3 linked regions of the Lonchura striata genome follow. The protein of the gene in region 1 interacts with the protein of each later gene in a pairwise test. Links are inferred from orthologs where the notes say so. Each region holds a gene or a part of one and is shown on either strand. Other genes may lie near its edges.

Evidence for each region.
Region 2: the proteins of EIF4A3 (region 1) and PDCD4 interact in binary tests that used the Homo sapiens proteins (3 or more experiments, as listed by UniProt). The two-hybrid records come from large-scale screens. The link is inferred for Lonchura striata from reciprocal best matches to the Homo sapiens genes EIF4A3 and PDCD4.
Region 3: the proteins of EIF4A3 (region 1) and CCDC174 interact in binary tests that used the Homo sapiens proteins (3 or more experiments, as listed by UniProt). The two-hybrid records come from large-scale screens. The link is inferred for Lonchura striata from reciprocal best matches to the Homo sapiens genes EIF4A3 and CCDC174.

What each region holds. Positions count from the first base shown.
Region 1 is NW_027461098.1:318,057-325,654, forward strand, and holds the start of EIF4A3 (eukaryotic initiation factor 4A-III), read right to left. Parts: upstream 3,101-7,598; 5' UTR 3,042-3,100; coding exon 2,876-3,041; intron 2,656-2,875; coding exon 2,583-2,655; intron 1,838-2,582; coding exon 1,771-1,837; intron 901-1,770; coding exon 838-900; intron 409-837; coding exon 276-408; intron 1-275. Other genes in the region: uncharacterized protein LOC110474848, read left to right, coding at 5,592-5,659, 5,739-5,876, 6,095-6,233, 7,330-7,440. UniProt on the Homo sapiens protein: ATP-dependent RNA helicase. Involved in pre-mRNA splicing as component of the spliceosome. Core component of the splicing-dependent multiprotein exon junction complex (EJC) deposited at splice junctions on mRNAs.
Region 2 is NC_134609.1:23,127,994-23,135,170, forward strand, and holds the start of PDCD4 (programmed cell death protein 4), read left to right. Parts: upstream 1-4,110; 5' UTR 4,111-4,192; exon of another isoform or gene 4,193-4,241; intron 4,242-7,177. UniProt on the Homo sapiens protein: Inhibits translation initiation and cap-dependent translation. May excert its function by hindering the interaction between EIF4A1 and EIF4G. Inhibits the helicase activity of EIF4A. Modulates the activation of JUN kinase.
Region 3 is NC_134614.1:15,132,987-15,140,745, reverse strand, and holds the start of CCDC174 (coiled-coil domain-containing protein 174), read right to left. Parts: upstream 3,004-7,759; 5' UTR 2,958-3,003; coding exon 2,916-2,957; intron 1,466-2,915; coding exon 1,361-1,465; intron 442-1,360; coding exon 341-441; intron 1-340. UniProt on the Homo sapiens protein: Probably involved in neuronal development.

The sequences.
Region 1 (7,598 bases):
GATGGAGCAACCACCAGTGCACAGAAAATGTGGGTTTAATTTTGGCATTCATGTAGGCATGGCTCCTATCCCCTTGAAGATTCAGGGACTGTAATACTTTCTCCTTTTTCCAAAGCCACCACATAAAGAGTCACCTCAACAATGGAAAGCAAAGCCTAAAGAGAGAAAATAAAAACCCCACCAGCACTAATTTCCCTCTAGTTTTCACAACAGCAGTAAGTTGTTACCCTGTCACACCTCACCTCCGTGTTACAGTAAGGTCAGGATTCCCTTACCGAACACCCGGCCTGGAGTGCCAGCCACCACGTGCTGCCCGTAGTCCAGCTTGCGGATATCCTCGCCCACGTTGGTGCCCCCGATGCAGGCGTGGCACTGCACGTTCATGTAGTCTCCCAGGGCGAGAAGGCCCTGTCAGGGCACAAAGACACGGCCTCACTGCCCGGCTCTCCCCAGGCCACACTTGTGAGGAGATGCTGGCCTGTGCAGCCACAACGTGGGCTTTCTAAAGAGATGGCAGCACAAGGATTCCTGTAACGTCTGGTACCCAAATCGCCACAGCAGCGGCCTTAAAACACTGGGAACTCAGTTCCTCAGGGATCACAACTGCTTTAGAAGCGCTGACCTTAAAAACTCAGGGCTGTGCAAAACCTCAGACTGCCAGAGTAATGAATGTAACACTGAGGAGCAAAGGACCCTGTATCAGATGATACTTTGCTATTTCTCTCGGGAACAGAAAGAAAAAGTGGAAGCTGTGCTTTGAGCTCTGCTAGAGAAACACCAGAGCACTGGCCCCGGGCCTTGCCAGTGCTCTCCAGACAAGGATGGAAATGCTCCTACCTTCTGGATCTGCACAGCCAGCTCCCGAGTTGGTGCCAGGATCAAGGCTTGGGTCTCACGAACCTGGTTAAAGCACAGAATCACAAGCAAGTTAATCACAGGCCAGCCAGAGAGCCAGGCATGGAAGAGGTGATGGATCTCACAGAATCGAAGCTGTGAGGTGTCACAGCTGAAGGATTTAGCACAGAATTTTGTGCTAAAAAAAAAAAAAAAAGGTGTGTACATGTCTTGCAAAATAGAAACAAATCTCAAGTCCTTCAGCCCTGTGTGTTTGGTTCAGATAAACACTTTGCACTGCTCAAGGATTCCTAGACAAAGTTTTGAAGTGTCACCTGTAAAAGTATTATGAGCACTTTACAGAAGTAAAGCAAAAGCTGTCTTTTCCACTTAGAACATGCAACCTTAATTTTTATGTCACCCGACAGTGACAGATGAGTGACAATCCCAGCCACTGAAAATCACCCTTTTATTCAATTGCATCTGCATATCCAACTTATACCCCAAAACGACTGGACGGACATTATGCCCCTGAGCAGAACAAGAGCAAACAGCTGTCAGTCAAAAACCTAGATTTGATTCTGTGCAACGTGTGGCACTTGTCCAGACAGGCTGGTGATGCTATTAGGACTGTCTGAAGACAATTCTGCTTGCTGAGGGATTAACTTAGCCCTAAGAGGTGAAAGAGGTCAGTTGTTAAAGACAACTTTATCATTACAAGACGTCATCTGAACTTATTTTGCCAGACTGGCTTTAACAGTTAAATTGTTATAGTTTGGTGAAGTTCTCAGTCAGAATTCTGTCTGAGGTTTACTGCCTGTAATTAAAAGACTTTGAAGTAAAGCTTCATTAATTCACTCTTAAAGAACACACTTTCATGATGAAGACCAGCGATCTAGTAAGAATTACTTTTAGCATGTGCTGCTATGAGCTTACCTGTATATCCAGGCACTGCAGAACAGATATGGAGAATGTTGCTGTCTTCCCTGTTCCCGACTGTGACCTGAGAAAACGTGTTTGGTGAGTACTCTGCATGTGTGCACAAACAGCACAGGCAATCTCAACACATCCCACCCCTCCACTGCAAAGAATTCAACAGTGCCAACGAAGGGTTTATGTTGTTATGATCAGAGCGTGATCTGCAGCTTTGAGAACTGCAATGCCAGGGACAGAACACTCCAAGGTCCCCAGCTCTGGCACCTTCACTCCTTATCAGACCAGCACTTTAACTTTCTGCCATCTGCCACACACACTTTTTTACAGGCAAATGACTTGTAAAGCCAATGCAATTTGCAAGGCTAGTAATTTGCACTAGTGAGCAAGAAAGAATTTTTTTCAGTGGGATGCATATCCTTCTTTGTCTCTAAGAGATATTTTTTACAGTAACTAAACCTAATAAACTTTGTTTTGCTTGTCACATTATAACACCACAGAACAGTTTGAATTGGAAGGGAATTAAACAACATCTAGCTCCATACGCCACCCTGCCATGGGAGGGGACACTTCCCACTAGACCAGGCTGCCCAGGGTCCCATCCAGCACTTTACAGAAAGTAAAGCCCCCTGGCCCTGGGCCTTTCCAAGGACGTGACATCCACAGTTGCTCTGGCCAGCCTGTCTCCGTGTCCCAGCCATTTCAGGTCACTCCCCACATCCCGCCAGGCACCGGCCCAGGCGCACGGGAGCGGATCCCGCTCTAGCCTCGAGGAATGTGCACGGCATCCCCCGCCGCAGCCCGGCCGCACTCACTGGGCGATCACGTCCCTGCCCTTGATGATCTGCTTGATGGCTCGCTGCTGGATGGCCGACGGCTTCTCGAACCCTGCGGGGGCCAAGGGACACGGTCACGGCGGGCCCCGCATCCGGGCCTGCCCCGGCCCGCGAACGCGCCCGGCCCTCAGCTGGGCCCCCCTGCCCTCAGCTGGGCCCCCCTGCCCTCAGCTGGGCCCCCCTGCCCTCAGCTCACTCTCCCGGCCCTCAGCTCACCCTCCCTGCCCTCAGCTCGGCCCCCCGGCCCTTCCTCGTTCGACTCCGCCGCCCACCGTAGGCGTAGATGCCGCGCAGCAGGTCCTCCCGCAGGCCCATGGTGTCGAAGGTGGGCGTCACGTCCACCTCCTCGCTGGTCTCGAACTCCACCTTGGTCATGTCCTCCTCCTTCATGAGGCGCTTCCGCGCCGAGCCGCCCGCGGACCCCGCGGACCCCGCCATGGCCGCACAACGCCCGCCGCGCGCCCGCCGCGCCTCTGCGCCTGCGCCTCTGCGCCTGCGCGGCCGCGCCTCTGCGCCTGCGCGGCCACGGGGCGGGCGGCCGCGGCGCGGGGCGCGGCGCGCGCGTGCGCCTGCGCGGGGGCGGCGGGGCGCGCGCGCGGGAGCGCGGCACGGGCGGGCCGGAGCGACTGCGGAGAGCGAGGGACCTTTAGCTGCCCCCACGGCAAAGTTGTTCCGCCCGCCTGAGGTGGGACCTCGTGTTTCAGTTTATGGCCACTGGAAAGAGCCTGGCACCATCCTCATGGCGCCTGCCTTTGAGATATTTGCATGTACTGAGGGAGTTCCCTCTCCGTCTTCTCTCCACACTAAACAGGCCCTGCCCCCTCCACCTTCCCTCATGAGGGGAGGTCAGTGCTACCATCATCACCTCTGTCACACTCCGCTGGACCCTCGCCGGGAGCTCCCTGCCTTTCTCGCCCTGAGGAGCCCAGAACTGGCCGCAGCACGGCAGGAGGAGCTGGGCAAGGAGGCGCCGGCAGCTCCCGCGGCCTCCTGCGCCGCTCCTCCCGCTTCCCCCGGGCGCATGCGCGGGGCGGCGGGGCCGAGGGGAGCCCGCAGGAGCCCGACTGGGCCGGGCCGGGCCGGGCCGAGCTGAGCGGAGCCGAGCTGAGCGGAGCCGAGCCGGGCCGGGCCGGGCCGAGCGGAGCCGAGCCGATGCTGCAGTGCCGCGTCCCCGGGGATGCATAGCCCCGTTCCCACGGTATGTCAGTGCCTCCCAAGCAGCCAAGACTCAGCGGCTCCGTGGCATGAGGTTTGTAAAAAGGATTCTGGTTGATGGCCTTGATCCGCAGCTCCGTGAGGTGATTTCCACTAACCTTGGGTAAGGAGCAATTAATTCCTTGCCAGGCCCCTGCACAGGACAGTTCGTTCGTGTTTAATGCTTTAATGCAATCCTGTAGGGAATCCAGACATCACACACTTAGAAGGGTTTCTCCATCCATTTTCCCGTGGTCCCCCACCAACCAACCAACCCCAAAAAAAAACAAAAAAGGAGGATCAGGTTTTACTGAGAATAATTCAGGCCAAGATACTTCTTTTCACAGATGGGTGATTCCACAGGATTCAGTCAGGCACCTGAGGGTGCTGACCTGGGGAGAGTTCTGCAAGACAGTTTTTAGATGTGGTCTGTACTGGAGCCACTGCGTGGTGACTGAAAGGCTCCCTTGGGAACTGCCTGAGAAGGAGCAATTCCTGCCTAAGTGGTGTGGGATTGTAAAACAAGACAACAGGGGGCTGTTGAGCCTGTTCTTTTTATGGGATGGAGAGGGGTGCACATCCTAGGAGAGGAAAAAACATCACCCCAGTTCTAATATTGACTTCAGGAATGCTGATGTCTCTGCACCTCACATGTAACACAGATTGTCCTCTTTTTAGTGCATGGACAAGCTTCATCCACTTTTGTTTGTTTGTTTGATGTAAAATACTTCTTTCTCCTTAGTGTATTCAGATCCAAGGACTGGCAGGGCATTTGCTTTTGAAGTAACACCACATGAACGTACTAAGTTGGAAGTGAATCTCTGCTTACCCTGACAGCCAGGACAGCTCAATCCAGGATCCTGACCAAAAAAAAAAAAAAAAGTCATTCTTTTGGCTTAAGACTTTGAGGTAACAGCTCTCTGAAGACTGGCTTCTTCCAAACTTGGTACAAAATTGGTGCTTTTGGAAATGTTGTGAGTTCTGTATCAGCTTTCTGGGTTCTGCTCTTTGTTCAAATAAAATGTTGGTTGTCAGTCCCCACCTGACAGTTTTCACAAGACCCTGTAAGTGATACAGCTTTCAGTGCTGGCCTTTCTGTGGATTCTGGGTGTTGATGGGTCAGCAAGGAGGCCAAACTGAATGGCCTGGGCCTGCAAACTGGCTCTTGTAGCTGCCAGGAGGGTAGCTCAGGACATCTCCCTCCTGGCAGCCTGGGGTTGTTTCTAAAATGTTCTTCAGTATTGATTTGATCTCTGAAGCTTCCCTTTGGTATTGAAAACCATCAGTTTGGCCCCACTGACTTATTCCTGCTGTTTTTTTCCTCAGCATCAGAGGAAGCAGCCTGTCCTTCTGGCCAAGCTACCTGGGCCCACATCACTTCTCCAGCCTCAGCAAAGACGCTGGATTTGCCGAGCCTCAACTTGTCATTGCCACCTGAGCCCTGGAAGGACTTAGAGGAGATCCTCAGGGTCCCTGGTTCTGCCTGGATCAGTGGTGGTGGGTGACGTGAGCAACTGCCCAGGGTGGGAGAAGCGCTTGCAGCCAGGTTCAGGATGGGTTTGGTCACCCCAGAGCTGAGGGAATGTGGGGGTGGATGTGATCTAGGCTTATCTGTGAGATGGGGGGGCATCCCTGGAAGACTGGAGGGTGGTCAGATGGTGTGACAACAGAAATGCTGCTGGAACTGTTAGAAGAGGGAGGAAGTGATCTCAGTCTGTCATTGCAGAGGCGGAGCAGCAGCACGGAGGAGCAGGAGAGCCTGCAGGGCTGCCTGCAGCTTTGGACACCACACTCATGGTCCCCAGCAGTGGCCTCCAGCATGCAGCTGGCACCTCCTACAGATACAAACTGCAGTGCCTCTGGTAGGGGCTCTGCTTCCCTGAGGGCCCTTCTGTGGGCTGCCTGAGGGGTCTCTTCATGCCCTGCTCGATGTGTCTGCAGGAGCCAGGTGAGGCAGATCGCCAGGGAGAGGGACAAGGCGAGGCTTGGTTTGGAGAAGGCAGAGAGACACTGCCAGCAGCTGGGCAGGGAGCTGGATGAGCAGTGCATCGCTCTGGAGCACACCCAGAGCAAGCTCAGGTAGGAGGGCTTCTTTTGGTGGGGTGGAGAAAATGTGCCTACACATCCCTTTTGAATCTCCCACTCGTTTTGCCAATGTGTCAGTGGCAGGAAAGTCCTTGAAGACCCCTCTCCACCCCTGTGATCTCGGCATCCTTCCAACAAAGCTCTCATCTCCTGCTTGTGGCCATCCAGGAACATGCTCTGTCTGTCCCAACCGTGTTGCTTTTTTGCCCCAGGAATTTTCAGGCAGAAATGGAGGCAAAAGAGCTGCTTTTGCAGCAAGCAGTGAGTCACCAGGCAAAGCTGGAGGCTGCTACACGGCTCCTCCAGGGCAAAGAGGCCAACCTGCAAGGGAGACTCAACCATGTGATGAATGTAAGTACAGCTGCCTTGGATTAAACACCTTCTCTCTTTCAGAGGTGGAAAAGCAGGGGTGGTGACAAATATAGATGGTTCACTTTGCTCTTGTTGGGAATAACAGAAATTTTATGCAGAAGAATCATCAGCCACATCCATACAGTTGCATTAAATACAGAGCTTGTTACCTTTCCATGCCATTACTAAACTGCTGTGTTGTCTGTTGGCAGTGATTTGGCCCTTGGTAACACCTAAAACACAGTGACCAAAGCTAAAATTGTGCCAGGGACCATGTCAACGGCAGAGATGATGGTGTGTGCATGCCTGGGATTGCCACAGTTCTGGTCAATGTAGAAGTACAGATGGAGATAGCTCAGGACTTGCTGCCTTTGTTAGCTGTGAGGGAAAGCACAATTTTGGGGAGCAGAGGTAGAGATGATCTGTGGGGCTGTCTAGCTCTTACTGTGCAAAACCCACTCCTGTCCTTTGGAGAGATGAGCCCATGTGGTATCAGCAATGTGCTTCCTGTCGTGGTTTAGGAGTGGCGCTCCCCAATTTTGTTCTCTTACCAAGACTCCCCAAACCACACTGCTGCTTGCTCACTCCCTCTCCCCACTTTTCAGTGGCTGGAGAGGAGAATGGGAGGCACAAAAGGAAAATACCATGGGTCAAGATAAGCACAATTTACTGGAAACAGCAGTGAGATAAGAAACAACCAGTGACAGCAAAAATATTAGCAACAAAAGTTTACAAAAGAGAGAGTGATTTACAAACAAAATGCTCATTGCAGACTAGCCACATTTTCTCTGGAAGGCATCTCCTTCTCCCTGGAACTGAGAGAGAGTGCCTTCCCTCTGTCCCCAGCAATGAATGAGGTGGTACAGAATAACATCTGGGCCTTAGCCACATCCCCTCCTGGTCACTGCAAAAACCAACCCTGTCCTGGCCAAAACCAGGCCATGTCCAGGGTCTCCTGGGAGCTGTGCTGTGTTTGGCCTGTTGGTGTGCCAGTTGTTTTACTGTCATCCTGTCCGTGCTGAGGACCTGTGGCTGAAAAGCCCACCCTGCCGTATCAGGACCCACTGCCTCAGGGAAATCTCAATTTTATCTGCAGGAGAACACACAGCTACAAAACAAGGTCACAGAGATGGCTGAGAAGCTGTCAGCCTCTGAGGAAATGGTGTTGGAGCTGCAAAAAGAACTCAACCACATTGTGAAGGATAAGGTAACCTTTCTCTGTTGAGTCAAATAACTTTTCAGAAATTCATAAAACATTTGATCTTGCATATTTTGTGTCAGTTTCTATGGTGTCCTCCTGTGTGAGCTCTCCTGTGCTTTAATGACAACCTAGAAGCTGGGGAAAAAAAAAAAGGTGTGAGGAAA
Region 2 (7,177 bases), on another chromosome or scaffold:
TCCCCAGGAGTGCTGTGCACAGGGCTGAGGGGCTGCCCTGGGAGCTCTTGTGCCTGGGGCTGCAGTCCAGCTTGCTTTGGCATGGTGTGGGGTGGGTGAGTGCAGCCAGCGACCTGGAGGGCCTGGAGGGCAAGGTGTGATGCCCCTGGGCTGAGCATGGCCACTGCAGCCCCATCTCCTGCCCGACCCCCCAGCCCACTGGCCATACACACATGGGAAGACCACAAGGACCTTCTTCAACAGGGAACAATTCAACCTCCACGCCCTGGGGGACACTACTGAGGAGCAGAGGTGCCTTTCCTTGTATCAGCACTGCAGCCAGGCTGCTGTTCTCCCATTAGCTCTGGCTCCAGTGCAGGTGCAGCAGCACTGGCTCCCTCCAGACCAGGTGGGCCAGCCTGCCAAGGAGCCTGGACACACTTCAGACACCTGCCAGGACATCAGGAGGTGTTGTGCTCTTTGGCCAGCACAGCGGGCTGGGCTGTGGAAGGCACTGGGTGCCAAACCTTTATGCCCTGCAGAAGCAGAACTGACAATACCTAGTCCTTGTATGCTGACACTTTTCTGTCTTCAGGCCAGTGCTAAGACTTAGGGACAGTGTCCTTTTTTCTGGGAGGAAAGTCAGAAGGAGGGAGAGGAGAGGTGGAGAAAAAAGCAGACCTAAAATTGGGTGAAGAAAAGCATGCAGACATTTAGACCTCAGTGGTCAGGAAAACACCTTGGCTGAGTCTCTTGCCCCAGTGAGGTAAAACACCTTGTTACTGTTTACTACAAAAGGTGACTGGCACAGTTATATTTATAAGGTTAAAAAAAAAAATCTAAAAGACCAGCTACTTCTGTTCCACCACTGAACTACTTATTTTTACCCTAGAACTATAATGAAAATCCACTCTGGTCAAATTTTTTCTGGGACACTTGAGATGCTGCAGGTTTTTTAGTCATAAACAGTACCCTGTTCAAAATATTATGTCCCATTTATGAAGGCAGGCGTGACTGATACAGCTTCCGAGTTCCAAGGGGCATATTTAAATAAGTAACAGGAACTAATCCATATAGTCAGCTTTCCTTAGGAGCCTGGGGATTTGCATGTCTAAATTTCACTGCGATGAGACTCCAGGATAGGGGATAAAACTCTAGTTAACTTCACTGGAGATAAAACCCAGGCAAGGGCAAAAGCTTGGAGACAGATGTTGCAGTTGAATGAATTTATACCTCAGAAATGCTACTTAGAATGAACAGTCATTGCAAGGAATAATTTTAAAAAGCAAAAGAATCGATTTGGTATAAAAGCTATGTCTCCAAAGGGAGTCAGAGTTCTGTCTTTTAAAGGACATTAATAAAAAATGGGGAAAAGTTTTTCCTCATTGCATATGGCTGAAGAAAACAGGAGGAAGAAGAAATTATAGGGCATAGAGGTTAATATGCATTGGGTATGTGCAAAAGCCAAACTCATTCTTTGCTTTAACTTTTGCTGAGGATGTTAATCATGTGGCTGCAGATGTGAGGGATAATAGGATGGGGGTATGGAAATGTTTGTGGCCGGGATAAAAGCAAATCTCAGGGCTGCTTCCTGCGCTGAAGGCAGAGGAACGGGCTAATCCACATGCCAGAGCTCTGGAAGAACTGGCCCGATGTCTTTAACAGGTCCCTCAGCCAGGGACAGCAGCACAGCAAACCTGTACAGAAGTGAACTGATTTGGGCAAGAAGAGGCATGAAGGTTTCAGCTTAATAGCATAAGGACAGATTCAGAAAAAAAATGGTGAAGGAAAGGCTAACAAAAGAGAGGGAGGTAAATGGCATGAGATGAAATGGTTTTATCAAACCCATTTATCTTTCTTGGGAAAGGCAAGCTGCAAGCCATTTGCTTAGTGAAGGAAATGGGATGGATCTCACCTCTCTGGACTTACATTGCACATTTCATATGGTGCCACATGGAAAGTTCTTAAGAAGAGGGAGAGGTGATTTTGCACAAGGTATAACCCCCCCTTAAAGCTGTAAAGAGATGTGGCATAAGAACAGCAGGGCTGTCAGGCTGGAGAGTAGTTACCAGGAGAGTGTTAAGCATCACTGTAGATCTGGCAAAGTGCTTTTGTAAATGGGCTTGGCACTAGTGTTACTGGAGAACTGGTGAATTTGCTGATGACAGAAAATATGAAGTAACCTCAGGAAAAAGGAGGCTTGAAATATTACACAGAGAAAGGTAGATAGCAGAAAGTGCTGGTCATAGGTACAAATGACCAAAGCCTTTCCTACAAGCTCCCTGGCAGCTCACACTCTGATCACCAAGTAACTGACTTGCCAACAGTGGAAATAGGAAGTGAGAAATGCAGTCCTGGAAGGCAGCAGGAGAGGTGCAGCCCAGGCTGCACTGAAGGCTGGGGTGAGCTTGAGCAGAGGCTATCTCACTTCATTTTGCAAAGCAAATACTGTGAGCATGAGGTTTTCTCTGCATAAATACTCCCGGGAAGGGAAGAGAGGAGAGCTGATGGTGCTAAGGGCCAGTGCTGGTAACAGAATAAATGATCAAAAGGAGCCATCAGACATTTTGATTAGGAGACCATTACTAACCATTTGACAATGTGGTTCTAGAATGTCTTCCCCACTGCAGTTGTCCATGCAAAATATTGAACTGCTTTGAGGATGGAACTTGGCAAGGTCATGATAAGGATATAAATCACATGGCGCCTTTGATAGGAGACCTGATAGCACAGAAGTTCCTGCCAGTCCTAAGCACAAAGGTAAATGTTCTGTAAGCCCCTGTCCATGTAAATATAGAGCATGTGATTATATACACACAAAAAGCAGGCACATGATTTATTAATCACAGGACCGCAGCTTGTCAAATAATAATTACAAGGCAATAACACACCTTGTTCTAATAAATGGCTTCCTAAGATTTTCTCCCACAGTAAACCAGTAAAAAGGGACAATTATTCTGAGGTAGAGGTGGCATTTTGTGTTTCTGGTTGTTAGCTTTTAAATGAACTCACCGTCTGGAACTCAAATCAAGTTCTTCCATTTTTCTGCACATTTCACAAGTTCAGCCCTTTCCAGTAAAGCGTCTTTTCAGATGCGTGATTGCCCTTTGTTAAGGCAAGAATGAACAGATGACAGCGGCAGCACGGAGGAGACATGCCTGGAACAGTTTACCGGGGCGATCCCACTGCTGCCGCTGCCAGGAGGGTGTACTCAGAGCCCCGAACAGGGCAGGCTGCTTGTGCAATGTGAGGGGCAAGTCCTGGGAAGCCACGAGAGAGACAGGCAGGCAGTGTTTCGGGGAAGTGTTTATGCAAAGCCACGGCAGCGGGTGACCCTTCGGTCTCCGCGCCTGGGCAAACGCAGCGCGGTCCCTCCCCAGCTCCGCAGGGCGCCCAGCCCCGACGGGCGCTGCGCAGCCAGGTCTGCAGCACAGCCCCGCTCCCAGCGCCCGCATCGAGCTGCGCGAGGATGTTCGAAAGCAGCTCGCATTACTGAGCATTTAAAAAAGTGAAGGCGTGTTTTTGTACCCTTTCAACCTGGAGCTGACGCTGCCTGATGAAAAAGAATGGGTTTGCTGTGTTTGCAGTTCACTTCGTGAAGGCACCTTAGCAGAAGATGCAAAAATAAAAGTAGTCTGAAGGGAAAGAAAGCAGAAGGCCAAGAGACAGGCAACTGAACAGAGCAGATTGATTTAACAGATATGATACATTTTTGCTGTCTGCATTATGTGTGGAAATTCGTATTCCAAGTGACACAGTAACAGACTCGACTGTAACCAAACAGCTCTGCTGAGGTGTCAGGAGCACAGATGCTGCCTATCGAAAATATTTAAAACAGAAAGTAAAACTTTGAAAAATCCGCGGTGGGGAGTGCAAGGGAAATAAACGTTCGGTAGTGTTTCTAACCCAAGGCAACTTCTCTCGGCTTTCGCTGCTCTCTCTGGTGCGGGAGGTCGGAAGCAGCTCAGCCAGCGCTCGGTGAGCAGCAAAGGCCAGCCCGGCCCGGGCAGCGGAGCCACGCGGTGCCCAGCGTGCGGGGGAAGGGCTGCTCCCCGCGCTTTGGGGAGCTCCAGCCAATGGATCCCTCCCCTGGGTGTTACGGGAGGGCTTGGCCTGCCTCTGAGAAAGGGAGGGCAGAGTTTGAAAACAACTCGAAGGAAGGAAGGCTGCTCGAAAGTGACCTGCTCGCCTCCGTGCAAGCATTTCGCTCCAGGTGATCGGCGGCTGTAGGGGTGGAAGCGCAGAGGGGCCGGGCGGCACAGGTAACCCGGGGTGCAGGTGTCGGGCGGCGGCTCCGGCTGGACACCCCGCGCTGGCTGCCTCGAGCTGCAAATCCACCACAAACGCTCCAAAGATTTTGACTGTGGTGTTTTTTTTTTTTTTAAATGTCAGGAGGAATTTTGCTGTTTTGTTTTCATGAGGATTTTTGATCGTGTGTTTGCTATTAATATGTCTAGGGGAGGGAGCGAGTAGGTCTCTACAGCTCAGAGGTTAGCATGTGATCAGCTGTTTTCTTGTTGTTGCAGGCAGGTTTGAGGTTAAAAAGGGAAAAAGAGGTGATGTCTTTTAGTAGGCTGGTTGATACAATGGAAAAATACAAGTTATCTTTCATGCACATAAGCTCTTTTTCAGGTCATAGTGCTTCAGAAATCAGATGAGATTTTCAGTGATTGATAACCCACGTGCTAATAGAGATATACAGCAGAAGAAAGAAAAAAACACGCAATTTTGTTGTCTGGAGGTGTGCTGGATGGTTTGGGGGTTTTCCTCTTCTTTTGACCTCTGATCCAGCTTTTAGGCTTCTTGGAAGTGAATCAGCCCTAAACTTTAGTAGAAAATCCTTTAGCAATTTTCCATGGCGCTTTAAAAGGTGTAATTGGCATGATGCCATATTTTGTGCCATCTTCTCTTGTGCAGGTTCTGGCTACTGTTTCAGTCTCTCTGTCACCTCTTTCTTTACTGAAAAATCTCTTTAAAGCCCCACTCTGCCTTGCAGGGAAAGCTAAATTCCATGGTGAATGTTAATAGGTAGAATTTCTTTTCCAAATCCTGGTGATGACACTGTGGTAGTTTGCTTGGTACGCACGAGTCAGCAGAGGTGCAGAGAGCAAACTAGGAACTATTTTTTGATTGATGGGGAAACAACATCTTTTAAAGCTGCCTCTAGGTTGCATGTGAAAAAAATCTTGTGTGAGCATGTTGGACTGTTCCGACATGAAAAAGTCTGCAATTTAATGCCTTCATGAGCAAGAAAGGTTTTCTTTCTGTCATTTAGCTGGTGGGGGAAGTATCATGAAAACATGGCAATCGTGCTGCACATTCTTTTAACAGATAGTTGTTGTTTTAGATCTTAAATCTATTTTGGATGATTCATGCAGAGCCAGGCCAGTAAATTAATTCAGAGGCTCTTACACAAGGGAACTTTGGCTTTTATTTCAGTCAGAAGAGTACCAATCAGGAGTGGAATTATACAGGAAAAATATTTAATAACACTACAAAAGTCAAGTCATAATCTGGTTAACTGGGGAGGTTTCTCTCACTGGCAGCTGGAAAATCCTGCAGTGCACAAATACCAAAGCAGAAGTGATCTGTATTTGCTTCCCTCATTGCTTGGGCTCTCTGGAGTGACAAATTAGGGAGAAAACAAAGGGTGAGCTGAGTTTTGAGGAGAGACCTGAACGGAGGCAAAGCACAATTAGAGGAGACTGTCATCTCTAATTAGGTGTGTGCCCTCAGGCAGTTGGTATAAAAGTAAACTAAAACAAGGTGGGAAGTTTGGAAGGACATGCACAGCCTGGCTGTCAATCCCAAACCTGATCCTCAAACGTGTGTGAAGCTTTCCCAAGGGGGGGAAGGCGGCAGCTCTGCCCGCCGGGGGCCGAGCAGCAGGAATGCCGCCGGCCAGCTGCGGTGCTGCCCGGCACCCTGCCCCGCACCCTGCCCCTCACCGAGCCCCGCACCCAGCCCCGCACCCTGCCCCGCACCCTGCCCCGCACCCAGCCCCTCATCCGCCCCGCACCCTGCCCCGCACCGAGCCCCGCACCCAGCCCCGCACCCTGCCCCGCACCCTGCCCCTCACCCTGCCCCGCACCGAGCCCCGCACCCTGCCCCGCACCCTGCCCCTCACCCTGCCCCGCACCGAGCCCCGCACCGAGCCCCGCACCCTGCCCCGCACCCTGCCCCGCACCGAGCCCCGCACCCAGCCCCGCACCCTGCCCCGCACCGAGCCCCGCACCCAGCCCCGCACCCTGCCCCTCATCCGCCCCGCACCCTGCCCCGCACCCTGCCCCGCACCGAGCCCCGCACCCAGCCCCTCACCCTGCCCCGCACCCTGCCCCTCACCCTGCCCCGCACCGAGCCCCGCACCCAGCCCCGCACCCTGCCCCTCATCCGCCCCGCACCCTGCCCCGCACCCAGCCCCGCACCGAGCCCCGCACCCTGCCCCTCATCCTGCCCCGCACCCAGCCCCGCACCCAGCCCCGCACCGAGCCCTGCACCCAGCCCCTCATCCTGCCCCGCACCCAGCCCCTCATCCTGCCCCGCACCCAGCCCCTCATCCTGCCCCGCACCCAGCCCCTTATCCTGCCCCTCATCCTGCCCCGCACCCAGCCCCGCGCTGAGGGAAGGGCTTGGGCGGGCAGGCAGCCAAAGGCCCGAGCTCCCCTTGTCAGCAGAGAGAAACACACGCCGATAAGAGTTAACAGATTCTTTTTTCTGATGGCTTTGATGCTTCGGAAAAGGAAGAAAAATTGGCTTTTAATTAAATTAGTAGGCCAGCACGTGGAGGAGGAACCAGGCACAGCTGCCCCGGTGCCAGCACCCAGCACCCCCAGGCGGGATGTGGGGAGCCGTTCTCCCGCATCCCGGGGCCGCCGCTTCGCCCGGCCCTGCCCCTGGAAGGGCTCGGGCGGCGCTGTCCCGGTGCAGGTGGCACTGTCCCGGTCCCGGTGGCGCTGTCCCGGTCCCGGTGGCACTGTCCCGGTCCCGGTCCCGGTGTGGCCGCCCCGCGCCGTGTCCCACAGGGACATGGAGGAACGGCTCAGGCGCCCTCACCCCCGCCCCCCGCACCAATGGCTCCTTCCCGCTCGCACCCCCCGGACCCACTCGCGATGGTCTCGCCCTCCCCGCTCTCCCCGGCCTTCCCTCCGAGCCCAACGCGCGCCGAGCTCCGCCCGCCGATTGGCTGCGGGGCGGGCGG
Region 3 (7,759 bases), on another chromosome or scaffold:
GAAAATGAGGTAATTCTTGAAAATGTGAGCCATTTTCTGTCAAGCCTAAGAAACACTTTGCTATAGAATTCTAACATGTCACTGCACTGGCTGGTAATTCTAAAGATGACTTTAAAAAAAATCAGTAAGCTGACATTTAGAACTGTGATAATGTGAAGTCATGAGAGCATGAGACTGCTGGGATGCAGTTTATATGCTACTGGTATAAGGTATGGATGATGCTGGAATTACTGGTTGGTCTAATGAGAACTGCTGGTCCAAAAACTTCTTTCTGTGCTTTTCTAAATACCAAAAAGCAAATTCTGCAAAGCATTTCTTCCTTACAGAGCCTAAGAGCTACCTTGATTTATCCAATATATCCTGCTCTTCTGCCTTCTGCTCAACATCTTTCGCAGCTCGATTTGCAACTCCTGTGTTCTGCTTGGTCCAGATACTTGGTTTCTGAAGAGGACAATTTTGTAACAACAAATAAATAGATTAAAATATTGAAATGGTAACAATTAAAAAAGTATTTAAACTCTATAATGTAAACAAACGCACATGAATCATGGAAGACTTTGTAAATAACATCTTATACATGTTTGACTTGAGATATTCCTGTGCTGCAGGATACAGCAGATATATCCTGAATTAACACTGGCTGCAGGATAGTATTATAGTTAAGGGCAAGCTGAGAAGGCCTTAAAAAACCCAAAGGCACTCAGAAATCAGACAAAATCTATTCTGGCAGAGATGTTAAGGTTAAAAAAACTCAATCATGCAATCTTGCTGATTAAATGCTAACAAAGCTAAAAATTGTTTCTATTCTCTATTGTCACCATTTTAGAGAAGAAATACAATCAGGTGACCTGTTTGCAGCATAACACTGTAAATGCTGCATGTGCTTCAAATATGGTAGGAACAGCACATTCAACTTCTAGAAAGCTACAGAATGAACAAAACCCAAAGTGCAGTACAGAGCAAAACAAGAGAGATAATTGTGTATTCATTATTGTACACCACAAACAGACAGCAGAGCATTTATGAATGAAATTCGGTGACTGTAGAAGAATCTCTCATCCTCCATCCTGCAGCATTATACAAAATCCTCTAATAAAAAAAGAAACAACTTTTCCTATAATCAGCCTTGGGGAATGAAGATTAAATGGGGATTTAGATGGGTAGAAGCACAAGACTAAGCTTTCTGCTGTGCACAGGAATCTCACCTAGAAATGAACTTTAAAGAATGTTCTCATCGTGTACATTTTATATTTGAATAGAAACACAGCTCTGAGTATTTGCTGTTATTTAGATTTGAATATTGACTTCCTTACTTTCAGGAGAAAGAATGACAAAAACAACAATGGAAGATTATTTTTACCTTATTAGAAGTTCTGGGCTTTGCAAAGGCACCAGCATCTTTCAACAGCTTTTCTTTCTTGAATTCCTCTTGCTTTCGGAAGAGTTCAGCTTTGAGATCTACCAGCTACACCAGCAGCAAAACACCACATAAATAACAGATCACAGGCACAGACATCAGCTACTGCAATAAACAACTGTATCTCTAGGAAAATAATCTGTTAGCTACAGTTATAGGAGCATTTGGCTGCATTTTTATATGGAACTTTGAAGCACTGATCTGATCACCAAGATCAGCTACAGCAAACAATATAAAAAAACCACAGAATGCAAATTATGATTAGGGATTAAAACAATCCCAAAAGATATCCTCGATATTTTGAGGATAAGAGAGACATAGCTCTGTCTAGATTTTACCAGCCTCCTAATGGCAAACAAATAGAGAAGGAGTAATGAAAAACACTACTGAATATGACAAAGGAACTTTTAACCATTAGATAATTAATAAACTCCTGTCTCAGGAAATAATTTATAAAAGTTTGCTATAATAAAATATGTATTTTCCCCATTGCTTTATGTACTGTTTAATAGTTTTGGATTTTCTTTCTCCTTCTTTTTAAAGAAATATATGAGTAGCATTACCATCCATTAGCAAGGTCTATCTCAGCTTTTATTAAGAAACATCATCGGCAGGGGTGTTACCTTAGGATTACAAAACTAGTTTGGAAGAGGATATTATGCTACTTTTCCTGCAAGTCCTACAGATGACAAAATTCAGAGTTGCACATTAAACCAGGAAAGTGGGTAACTTTGGTATTAATATTTCTCTCAAAAGCATTTGCTTTTCAGCTCCCTGGGACAACGAAGTGCAGTGTCTTAAAAATCACTCGTTCTCCCTTCTGCTTAGAGGTGATCATCCAGAAAGTCAATGTAAAATATTTCACAGTTAACTGTTAGCATACATTAACTATTTACATAGCTCTTCATCTGAAGTGTTTGGCAGCTCTCGTGAGCGCCCTGGAGAGCAGCGAGAGGCAGCACCTCACCATCCCTAAGGGTGGGAAGTTAATCTGCCACAGCATAGACATCCTGCTCCTTAGGAAAACTCTTTTCCCTTTTACGGCTGATTTTTAAGGCTGATTTTTAAGGCTGATTTTTTAAATCCCTTTCCCCCCCGATTTAATCATTGCATGAGGAATGCGCAAACCCAGGCCCGGCAGACTCGGGTTAGGAGCGCAGGGCGTGCGTCGGGTCAGGAAGGCGAGGGGACAAAACCCCAGCCCCGACATCTCCACACACCCGATATGCGGCCTCCCACAGCCCTTTAATGCAGCACTTGCTGCCGTGGCTACCCATGGCAGTGGGGTGAGGGCGAGGGGACAGCACCAGCCCGTCCCAGGGGAGCCGCTCCCCTGCAAGCGCCGGCACCAGCGGGTCCCCGCGTCCAGCCTCACGGCCTGCGCCGGCCAGGCCACCCCGCCCGCGGGAGCCTCGCGGCTGAGCACACCTCACAGCCCTACAAAACCTCCTGGGCAGGCGGAGAGGTTCATTTTGCCTCTCCTCGCTCAGCCACTCACCGAGGACGCGGCCACGTCCAGCGGCTTTTTCCTGCGGTCCATGGCGGGGCCGGCCCCGCTGCGCCTTCCTCGCCGGGCGGCCGCGCCGTAAAGCGCGGCGGGAGCGCGGCGCTATCGCGACAGCGCTGCTGAGAGGCCGGGCGGCGCTGCCGCCATCTTGGGGAGGTCAGGGCCGGCCGGGGCTCGGTGCGGGCCGCCCTGGCGCTGGGGCATCCCTGTGCTCAAACCGAGCGTGAAAACGAGCGTTTCTGGCGGCTGGGACCAATCCTTCAGGCGTCACACTGGAAATGTCCTCGTGCAGCCGCTGTGACAGAGCTGGGGCTGCCCTGGGCTCTGTGGGTGCCCTGGGCTCTGTGGGTGCCCTGGGCTCTGTGGGTGCCCTGGGCTGGGGGTAGCCGCTGTGGCCAGAATGTGGCAGGATTGCAGGCTGGCCCACAGCTGGGGTGGGCTCAAACGTAGTTCAAATTTGGCATCAATGTGGACTCATTACATGGTGCCAGTGTCAAGTCACGCACTGAGGTCGGGTATTTTTTATACTTTTTATTCTTGTCTGTGCAGAGTGGGGAGCTGGGTGGTGACCCATGGAAGGTTAATTCACCGATCATCCAAACTTCACACTCTATACAACTTAATAAAAGGCATCAACATTCCTTGGTTGTAGATTACTCAGCACCCCTATTTGCTAGTTCTATTTCTTGCTTCTCCTGCTGATTAGTCTGCAGGCACAATTCTTCCCTCTGTTTGATTCTGGGGCCCGTCTTCAGTAGGTGGTCAGTGAGCTCTCACGATCTCCTACTGCCAAAATCACCTTTCCCCAGGTACTGCTCAGTTCACTCTTGGTGCTTCTCATCCAGGCAGCCCATTCATTTGGGGATTGTCTTCTCTTTTTCTTAAAACAGCAGATTAGCCAAACATATGATGCTCACAATGCAATTGCTTAATCACAACCATCCAGCTATAGCTACTGATTAACACCTAAAAAAAAAGAGCGAAGTTTGACTCAACCCCCTATCAAAACCTTGAGAGCCTCATAACTTGAGGGGTTTGGTATCGTCAAGAGAAAAAAAAACCCAAAAAGCAAACCACATTAAAAAAAAAAAACCCAAACACAACCAGGAAAAAACCCAACCCAACCAACCCAATCTAAAACTCTCTTTCCTGCCTTACTTGGTGAGTGCCACAGAGATGAGACCTGAATGAAACAGCCAAGTACAAACCCACTTACATGTGATTGATCCAGCTCTGTAACCTCAGACAGGAGCACAGGTAGTCTTGGGAGTGTGTTTCGGAGTTTTAATAATACTGGGTAACTCTTTATATCATTTTTCATCCCCATGGAGAAAAAGGACTCTCTGATAGGTTTTAGTTGAAATACTGAAGATCATAGTTATCTGTGCAAGAAAAGGCTGCCTCTCACTTGTCTTTAATAAACTAGAAAAATACAAGGTGCTCTGATGTTGCTTGGCAGTGTGACAGCTGATAGAAGCACCAGAAACAGTTCTCTGAGTTTGGAAATGTATTGCTTTTGTGTTTGGCAGGCTGGGTCAGGCCCATGTTTAATAGTTTATGGAGACAGAATTGCAAAGCTGAAGGAGGTAATCAGTTGCTAAGAAAGCTGCACCTGTATTCCAGGGAGTGCAAAGTGTGCAATAGAGAAAGAACGATTTCTGCCCTGTGAAGCAATTTCTGACAGTGAAACTGTCCTGCTTTTGGCTGTTTAAAAGGGGAATTGGTGAGAGACAGCAGGGACAGAGAAGTGCAGGTCATATTAAAACCATAAAGTATTTTAATTTGCACTGGAAAAGGAGAAACACACATTACTGGAAAATAGGACAAATGTATGAAAACATCTGTGCTGTTCTAATTAAATCACACTTCAACAAATAATTTATTGTTGCCTGTTCAAACCTCACCTAGCGACAACACTGAGAAGGAAAAACAACCCAAACTCAGGCCAGGGTTGGTTCTTAAAATACTCCTTTCTGGTTGAGGATGAGATTAATCACCAAGTTTGTAAGGAAAATCTGTGCTACTGAGTTGCATGACAGGATGTGGAAAAAGGAATTAATCCTAGAAATTCCAAGCTGGCTCGTGCTGCTGTGAAGATTGGAGAGCTGGCACTTGTGTTCTTGCAAGAAGCAGTGGATTTTTCTGTGGGTAGCAGAGGTCTGGCTAGGCATGCCTGGGTTGGGAATGAGGCAGGGTTGCTGATGCTGTACAGAACCGAGTGTGTGGTGAGATAAGCTCAGCTCAGGTCCTCTCTCATGGAGCATCAGCAGGCAGGGAAAAACATGGAGCAGGACAGAGGAGAGCTCTTGTAAATGCAGGTGAACCCAATGGGAAGAAATTATGATGTCTGACTCAATTCAGAAGACTGAATTATTTATTTATTATAACTATGCTAAAATACATTAATATACTATATAAAAGGAAAATACTAATATTACTTTAACACAACTCGTGACCCTCTCTCTCTCGAGAGTCCAGACACAGGTGGATTGGATTGGCCATCAGGCTCAAACCATCCTCACCAAAATCCAATCAAGCACTCACTCCAGGTAAACAATTCTCCAAACACATTCCACATAGGAAAAACAAGGAGCAGAAATAGAAATTGTTTTCTCTTTCATTTCTCTCTGTGCACCTCTATGAAAAATCCTGAGAGTGAGAGAAATGTGCTTGCCACAGGGAGCCCTGCTCCTGCCGGAGCCGTGGGGTTGCTCTGCTGCCGGGGGATTCAGCGCTGAAGGCACACACAGACAGATGGCTTTGGGAGCACCGTGTGTCACTTCAGTGGTCTTGGATTTTCAGGCTAAGAACTGACAAGCTTCACACATATGGTTTCCTCAGAAAGGCTTCATGTCAACTCTAACCTGTGAAGGGCTATTCTGTGCATGTTTTTGATCCAGCTCACAGGAATTAATAAAATTCCAGTGAGGGAGGAATAAGAACACTTCAAAATGTGAAGTAAAACCAGCTTAACTTAAAAAAATGAGGTGGGGAAGGGGAGGAATCTGTTTCAATGTACAGTAGAGGCTCAGTGTGGCTTATTTTCATCAGGAACTTGTGAAAGCTGTATAAACTACCATGTTTGATCTCAGACTGCTGATAGCCCTGAATTCCTGGGGAATAATTGATTCCCCACTTCCAATTAGTATGTTGCTCATTTTAGAATGAGGTCTAATTGTGTTTGTTTCCACAAAGCTGCATCACCACAAAAAGTGTGTTTATTATTTTTGAGGAAGATGAGAGATCACAGTGGTTTGTTCTTAGGGTTGTTTTTTAATAAAACAGTGGTGTTTCACTGTCTCATGAATTTGGTGAGAGGTGCTGCACAAACTTGAATCAATTGCAAAGCTTTGGTGTGGATTTCTCCTACACCCCCTTACCAAAACTTGTAGGAGCACCAGACCAAATGATATTGATGTTTGAAGGTTTTGTTCTTCAGAGACTGATTATCTTATCTCAGACACTAAGGTTTCATCCTACCCTAAGGCTTTGATATTCTCTTATTTTTCTACATCTTGGCTTTAAGATGAAATAAAACTGTGAGTAAATAACAGCTGGACATTTTGTGAGATAAGCCCTAGTGCTAGGGCACTCTGTCCTCATACGCTTTCAGAGCCACTCAACATAAGACAACTCATCCATGTTCTTCTGAGGGATGCAGAAATTCCTTCTGTCTTTTTTATTTATACATTTTTCTCAGTTTCTTCATCTCAGAGTTTTTGTATGAAAGAATTTGTGTTATATCAACAAAAATATTTTTTAAAACAGTGCAAGTTTTTTAAAATTTTGCTTTCCATAGTTTGCTGGAGTATTTGTGGAATTTGTGTGTCTTAGTGTGTGTGAGGCCAAAAATGACTGTGAATCAAGCAAAACTGTTTGCAAACTAATCTTTGCAGCAGCAGTGGTCCAAAAGTTTCTTTCCTTCTAGAAAAGATTCCCAAAATCAAGTCCTAGCATATCTCTTTTTACTTACTTCTGTACATTTTCCTAAGGGGACCTGAAGAAAAGTCTAGAAGAAAAGTCTTTATATTTTTGTATTGTATTTTAAGAAGTGTGCACTTGCTCCAGCAAAACAAACAAGCAAAAAAAGAAACCAAAAGCCATTTGTGGAAACTCTGGAGGGATACTGTGAATTTTTTTCAGGAAGGCTGAAAGTTAGCTTCATTTGGGTAGGTAATTGGTAAGTGTGAAGACTAGGAGAAAAAAAATCCTAAAAGTCTGATAACTGTTTGAGATCTTTTGCATGATCTTAGGCAGAAAGTCAAAACAAGAAGAGGTATATAGTAAGTGTTCAATTGCCATGTGTGGGGTTTTTTGCCTGTTGGGTCACAAGCTGCAATGCCAGATTGCTTTTGTGCTATCTCAGTTTTGCTTGCAAACTAAAAATTAGTCAAAAAAAAAAAAAAAAGGAAAAAAAATCTAATGATGACTTAATGCTAAATTGAATGGTGATCGAAACGAGCCTTGTCCTTTTCTATGGGAACCTGCACTTTATTTTCAGTTTTATAATGCACTTGAAATCATGTCTTGTATCTACAGTGTTGCCATCTCTTCTGTCTTCATATGTGTTATGAGAGAGGGAATACTGTTATGTGCTAGTTTTATAGAAATTGTAATTCCTCTCAAATACAGCTTGAATGTAGAGATTTCCTAAGGGCATCCAACAGCTTAAATCAGAATTAGGCTTAATGTCATCTTACAACAGAATCTGTAGGAGTGACATAGTTACTGCAACCAGAATTATCTTAGAAAACTGTTATTGATAGCCATGATTTTTTTTTAGTATGCATTTTAGGAAGTTTTACTGCAAATGGACATTGTGACCCTTCCTCCTT